Canis lupus familiaris: one gene and its partner. The protein of the gene in region 1 purifies or fractionates together with the protein of each later gene. This does not show direct contact. Links are inferred from orthologs where the notes say so. Each region holds a gene or a part of one and is shown in the gene's direction. Other genes may lie near its edges.

Region 1 (3,157 bases):
CGCGGCGCCCGCGGAGGACCTCGAGCGCCCCGAGTGGTGCACCCCTCCCCGCACCCCGCGCGCCCTCGGCCCCGGGCACCTGGCCGGGTCCCCGCGCCTTCCCGCCAGCGCCCTGAACTGGAGCCCGCCCGGGCCGCGGGAGCCCGCGTCCGCCCGCGTCCGCCCGCGTCCGCCCGGCTCGCGGCAGCCGCCGTCACCCGACAGTCAAATCCCAAGACGTCAGCCCACAATGCACCGGGCGGGCCGGGAAAGACGCGCGGCGGAGGAGACGGGGGCAGAGCCGGGCGCGAGCCGCGCGGGAGGGGGAGGGGGGAGGGGGAGGGGGAGGGGGAGGGGGAGGAGGAGAAAGAAGGGCCCAACTGTAGGAGGGCAGCGGAGCATTACCTCATCCCGTGAGCCTCCGCGGGGCCGGAGAAGAATCTTCTAGGGTGGGGTCTCCATGGCGACGGGCGGGCCCGCCCCCTGGAGAGCGACGCGAGCCAATGGGAAGGCCTTGGGGTGACATCATGGGCTATTTTTAGGGGTTGACTGGTAGCAGATAAGTGTTGAGCTCCGGCTGGATAAGGGCTCAGAGTTGCACTGAGTGTGGCCGAGGCGGCGAGGTGGGAGTGGAGGAGCGCGGACTCGGGGAGGCGGGCGGCCGCGGGCAGGCGAGACGGCCGGAGAGTCCGGGCTGCAAAATCCGCTTTCCGTTTTGCATTTTCCTCGCCGACTGGCCGGAGCTAGCGCCTGTGGCTCCCGGGCTGGTGTTTCGGGGAGCGCCCGGAGAACCCCCTTCTCCAGCCGCCCCCGGGAGGAGAGCCCCGCCGCCCGGGAGCCGTGACAGCGCGGAGAGCGGCGACAGGTCCGTCCGCGCAAGTGCAGAGAGTGGCTGCGGCGGCTCAGAACTTTCCTGGCCGGGAGCACAGGGGACGAGTGGCCCGGGTCCCGGAGCGAACTTTTGCAAAGCTCTGCCGCGCCTGAGGCTGCGGCGGCTGCGGCGGCGGCGGCGGCGGCGGCGGCGGCGGCCGGGACGAGAGAGGCGGCGGCGGAGCGAGGAGACCGCGGAGGGACGTGCGCTCGGCGCCCCTCGCCCCGGTGGCTGAACTTGGGCGAGCGCGAGCCGCGGCTGCCCGGCGCCCCCTCCCCCTGTCGCCGCGGGGGCGGGCCCGCGGGCCCCCGGGAGCCGCCGCGCCCCGAGAGCGCCCCGAGCGCGCCCCGTGGGTGACCGCGACTTTTCCCCGAGGCGGGCAGCGCGCGCGCCAGCTGACCCAGGAGGAGCGCGGCGGCGGCCGGAGCCGGTGAGCGGGGCGCGGGGGGAGGACCGCCGGCGGGAGCGCGCGCCCCTCCAGAAACTTTCCTCTAGCCCAGGGCCGCCCCCCCCACCCGGGAGGCGCGGGGGTCCCCCGCTCGCCAGCGCGCTGTTGCGGCCCCGAAACTTCTGCGCGCAGCCCAAAGTAACCCCGCGCGAAGTGACGGACTGTTCTATGACTGCAAAGATGGAAACGACCTTCTACGACGATGCCCTCAACGCCTCGTTCCTGCAGTCCGAGAGCGGCGCCTACGGCTACAGTAACCCCAAGATCCTGAAGCAGAGCATGACCCTGAACCTGGCCGACCCGGTGGGCAGCCTGAAGCCGCACCTCCGGGCCAAGAACTCGGACCTGCTCACCTCGCCCGACGTGGGGCTGCTCAAGCTGGCCTCGCCCGAGCTGGAGCGCCTGATCATCCAGTCCAGCAACGGGCACATCACCACCACGCCGACCCCCACGCAGTTCCTGTGCCCCAAGAACGTGACGGACGAGCAGGAGGGCTTCGCCGAGGGCTTCGTGCGCGCCCTGGCCGAGCTGCACAGCCAGAACACGCTGCCCAGCGTCACGTCGGCGGCGCAGCCGGTCAGCGGCGCGGGCATGGTGGCCCCGGCGGTGGCCTCCGCGGCGGGCGGCGGCGGCGGCGGCGGCGGCTTCAGCGCGGGCCTGCACAGCGAGCCGCCGGTCTACGCCAACCTCAGCAACTTCAACCCGGGCGCGCTGAGCAGCGGCGGCGGGGCGCCCTCCTACGGCGCGGCCGGCCTGGCCTTTCCCGCGCAGCCCCAGCAGCAGCAGCAGCCGCAGCAGCCGCAGCAGCCCCCGCAAGCGCCGCACCACCTGCCCCAGCAGCTCCCCGTGCAGCACCCGCGCCTGCAGGCCCTGAAGGAGGAGCCGCAGACGGTGCCCGAGATGCCCGGGGAGACGCCGCCCCTGTCCCCCATCGACATGGAGTCGCAAGAGAGGATCAAGGCCGAGAGGAAGCGCATGAGGAACCGCATAGCTGCCTCCAAGTGCCGGAAAAGGAAGCTGGAGAGGATCGCCCGGCTGGAGGAAAAAGTGAAAACCTTGAAAGCGCAGAACTCGGAGCTGGCGTCCACGGCCAACATGCTCAGGGAACAGGTGGCACAGCTTAAACAGAAAGTCATGAATCACGTTAACAGTGGGTGCCAGCTCATGCTAACGCAGCAGTTGCAAACGTTTTGAGGACAGACTGTCGGGGGCTTGAGGGGCAACCGAGAGAGAGGAGAGAGAGAGAGAGAGAGAGGAGAAAAAAAAAAACCACACACACACACAGAGAGCGAGAGCGAGAGAACTTGAGAACTTGACAAGTTGCAAGAGAGAGCGAGAGAGACAAGAAGTGTCCAAGGACTAAAGCCAAGGGTATCCAAGTTGGACTGGGCGGCGTCCTGACGGCGCCCCCAGTGTGCACGAGTGGGAAGGACTTGGCGCGCCCTCCCCTGGCACGGGGCCAGGGAGCGGCTGCCCGCGGGCTGCCCCGCTTTGCGGACGGGCTGTCCCCGCGCGAACAGAACGTTAGACTTTTCTTTAACATTGACCAAGAACTGCATGGACCTAACATTCGATCTCATTCAGTATTAAAGGGGTGGGGGGGGGGGAGGGAGGGGGAAGGGTTCCAAACTGCAATAGCGACTGTAGATTGCTTCTGTAGTACTCCTTAAGAACACAAAGGGGAGGAGGGGGGGTGTTGGGGGAGGGGAGGCGGGAGGGAGGTTTGTGAGAGCGAGGCTGAGCCTGCAGATGAACTCTTTTCTGGCCTGCCTTCCTTAACTGTGTATGTACATATATATATTTTTTAATTTGATGAAAGCTGATTACTGTCAATAAACAGCTTCATGCCTTTGTAAGTT
Region 2 (3,651 bases), on another chromosome or scaffold:
AAAATAGAACAAAGGATCTACCTTGTCATGAAACTAAACTGCAGTGCCAGCCCTCCTGTCGTGGTGTGGTGTCAGGGCCGTCATCTCAGATGGTTTATGGTTCCCTGCAAAGCCATTTATGGCTCCACAGTTCTGTGAAGTGATTCACCACTGCCAGGAAAGTATTCTTTCTCCTTTCTGGTGTTCCCCAGTCCTGCTTCGAGGACCAAGTTCTAATTTCTTTAACTGATCAAATCACTAGCCTTTCTTTTCTTTATTATCCCAAAACTCTAGCTTCCTAACTTCTAGCCTCTAACACCAGATTTTGGGATGAAATCACCATCAAGCATGGGAAGTTCCCCAGAATAGATCTTTCCTATCTTATTTATAGTACTTCAATAGCTAATTTATCTTTGTTTGCTTTTGATACTTGGGTAATAGTCCTTCTGGTTGTCAGAAAAAGTGCTCACAGCCCTCCAGTGGCCAGCAGAGCTGGTTGGAAATAGGCAAGCACTGGATTCAGGAATCATTTTACTTTCCTGAAAAATGGTATAATATTTGCATGGATTTAAATGACTTTTTTTTTTTCTGTCTTTCAGCGTCTTTATAAACATTATAAGCGTTGTGTGTGTTTTTTTTTTTTTTTTCCTTTTAGGATCTTTATAAGTATCACTGTGGTGAAGCACGCATTATTTCCATTTTACAGTTAGAAAAACAGAAGTTCTGGGGTGCCTGGGTAGCTCAGTCTGTTAAGCAGCCACGTTCGGCTCAAGTCATGATCCCTGGGTTCTGGCATCAAGCCCCACATCGGGCTCCCTGCTCACGAGGGAGTCTGTGTCTCTCTCTCTCTCCTTCTGCCCCTCCCCCTGCTCATGTTCTTGCCCACTTTCTCAAATAAATAAAACCTTTAAAAAATTTTTTAGAAAAATCTAAAAGATTTTGAGATTCTTTTTTAGAAAATAAAAACAAGTTCAAAGAAGTTAAAATGATCTGGCCAGAGTTGTACATGAAACCTAGGTTCCCTAGTTCTTTGACTTGCAGTTCAGTTCTTTGAGGACTGAACTTTGAAGTATTTTTCCTCAGTGCACTTGGCTGGCTCAGTCAGTAGAATATGCAACTCTTGATCTCAGGATTGTGAGTTCAAGCCGTACGTTGGGTGTGGAGCTTACTTTAAAAAAGGTGGGGGGGGGGGGGAGAGAAAGCATATTTCTATTTCCTCGTATTTTAACTGGAAAGATTTTGATTCAGCCTGTAGGGACTCGTGGGGTTGAACTATGCTTATTTCTCTCTTTTAACAGGCTGCTGCTGGGCCCCTTGACATGTCTTTGCCTTCTACACCAGACATCAAAATCAAAGAAGAAGAGCCAGTGGAGGTAGACTCATCCCCACCTGATAGCCCTGCCTCTAGTCCCTGCTCCCCGCCACTCAAGGAAAAGGTAAATTATCTACTAAGAATTAATTATCCCAGAAGCGCCTAGATGGCTCCACTGATTAAGTGTCCAACTTTAGGTGTCCAACTCAGGTCATGATCTCAGGGTCTTGGGATCAATTCCCACATTGGGCTCTGTTTTCAGTGGGGAGTCTGCTTCAGATTCTCTCTCCCTCAGCTCCTTCTGCTTGCTTGCACGTGCTTTCTCTCTCAAATAAATAAAATTCTAAAGAAAAAAAATTATCCCAAATGTTAATTGGTAGGTAGATTAAGTTTTGATTCAATAGTTGCATAATGTGTGATACAGGATTGATTATATTTAAATAATGTTCATTATTTAGAAGATTTGTATAAATTATATCTATTCTCTGACCCAGCAGTTCTACTTCTGAGTCTACATGGAAGTGAAATTAGTGCATGTGTCCACTGTATCAAAGCATATTAAAATGCTCATAATAGCTGTATTCGTCAAAAACTGTTCATCAACAAGAGAATGAATGAATGAATGAATGAATGAATAAATAAATAAATAAATAAATAAATAAATAAATAAATAAATAAATAGTGGTATATTTCTAAAATGGAATACTAGGGGTGCCTAGGTGGCTCAGTCAGTTAAGCATCTGACTCTTGGTTTCGGCTCAGATTGTGATCTCAGGGTCATGAGATCAAACCCCATGTCGCACTGGTCATAGAGCCTGATGAAGTCTCTCTCTCTCTTTGCCCCCTCCTACCCCCCTCTCTCTAAAAGTAAATAAAATAAAATGGAATACCACATGGCATTAAAAAAGAATGAACTAATGATACAGCAATGTGGGTGAACCCCACAAACATTATATTGAACAACAATAACAAAATTCAGACATGAAAGTATACACAGGACCTGTTTACATCAGGTTCAAGAAGAGGCAAAACTATTTCATGATGATAGAACTCAAAAGGGAAGGTATGGAATGGGAAGGGACATAGGAAAACATTCTAGGGTGCTGGAAATGGGCTCTGTCTTGACTTTACATATATAAAGTCATTTAGTTGTATCCTTTAGAATAATGTACTCTATGTATGTTGTACTTCAGTTATTTGGGGTTTTTTGGTTTTGGGTTTTTGTTTGTTTGTTTGTTTGTTTGTTTGTTTGTTTGTTTGTTTTGAGAGACAGGAGTGGGGAGGGGCAGAGGGAGAGAGAGAATCCCAAGCAGGCTCACCTGGGGCCTGTGGAGCTTGATCTCACAAGCCTGAGATCATGACCTGAGCCAAAACCAAGAGTCAGCCACCCAACTGACTGCACCACACAGGTGCCCCTATACTTCAGTTATTAAGTGGGGGAAAAAATTGTGTAATTCATAAATTGGACATCAAATAATTTTGGAAAAAAAATCTCCTTAGAAGGAAGTCTTCTAGTGACTCAAAGAGAAAATCCACTAGGATTCTGAGTATTATTTTTTTTAAAGGAAACTTTTTATGAAGTAGTGTTTTTTTATAAATGTACTGAAATATAGCATACATACATAAAAGTGCGTGAATTGTGAGTATATAGCTCACTGAATTTTCACAGTTTACAACCTGTGTAACCAGCACCCAGATATTCTCAGAACCTCAGAAGCCCCCTCATGCCTCTTTCCAGTCTCTACTGCTCTACCTGGGGTTATTATTTTTAGTGTCCACTGTGGATAGAGCATCTGTACCTCATTTTACTTCCTTCTAAATTTAGTTTGATAATTTCCCCAAACCACCTCCTCCATAAACATTACAGCTGTCCCTCCTCTCTCCCACTTTCATCAGGACCAGGTCCTAAAGGTTGTCTAGAGGTACGTGAGGACCAGGGTGGCTGATAGCAACTAAGATCCTAAGCAAGTTAACAGTGGGAAGCAGTTTGTTTTATTACAACATGACCATTATTCAAACTTCATAGTCTCTTTAAAAGGGATCTGTCTGGGATCCCTGGGTGGCACAGCGGTTTGGCACCTGCCTTTGGCCCAGGGCGCGATCCTGGAGACCCGGGATTGAATCCCACGTCGGGCTCCTGGTGCATGGAGCCTGCTTTCTCCCTCTGCCTGTGTCTCTGCCTCTCTCTCTCTCTGTGTGACTATCATAAATAAATAAAAATTAAAAAAATAAAATAAAAGGGATCTGTCTGAGGGTGCCTGGCTGGCTCAATCAGTAGAGTACTCAGTCATGACTTCCTTTTTAGGCACCATGTCACTCTCGATCTTGGGGTCATGAATTCAAGCCCCACATTGGGCATT

The links. Proteins that work in one complex are often made in the same cells at the same time.
Region 2: the proteins of JUN (region 1) and cyclic AMP-dependent transcription factor ATF-7 purify together in Homo sapiens (affinity purification with mass spectrometry; 3 studies listed by BioGRID and IntAct, with this or other methods). This does not show direct contact. The link is inferred for Canis lupus familiaris from reciprocal best matches to the Homo sapiens genes JUN and ATF7.

The regions. Positions count from the first base shown.
Region 1 is NC_049226.1:51,325,730-51,328,886, forward strand, and holds JUN (transcription factor AP-1), read left to right. Parts: upstream 1-1,250; 5' UTR 1,251-1,466; coding exon 1,467-2,492; 3' UTR 2,493-2,582; downstream 2,583-3,157. UniProt on the Homo sapiens protein: Transcription factor that recognizes and binds to the AP-1 consensus motif 5'-TGA[GC]TCA-3'.
Region 2 is NC_049248.1:44,957,655-44,961,305, reverse strand, and holds part of cyclic AMP-dependent transcription factor ATF-7, read left to right. Parts: intron 1-1,277; coding exon 1,278-1,415; intron 1,416-3,651. UniProt on the Homo sapiens protein: Stress-responsive chromatin regulator that plays a role in various biological processes including innate immunological memory, adipocyte differentiation or telomerase regulation.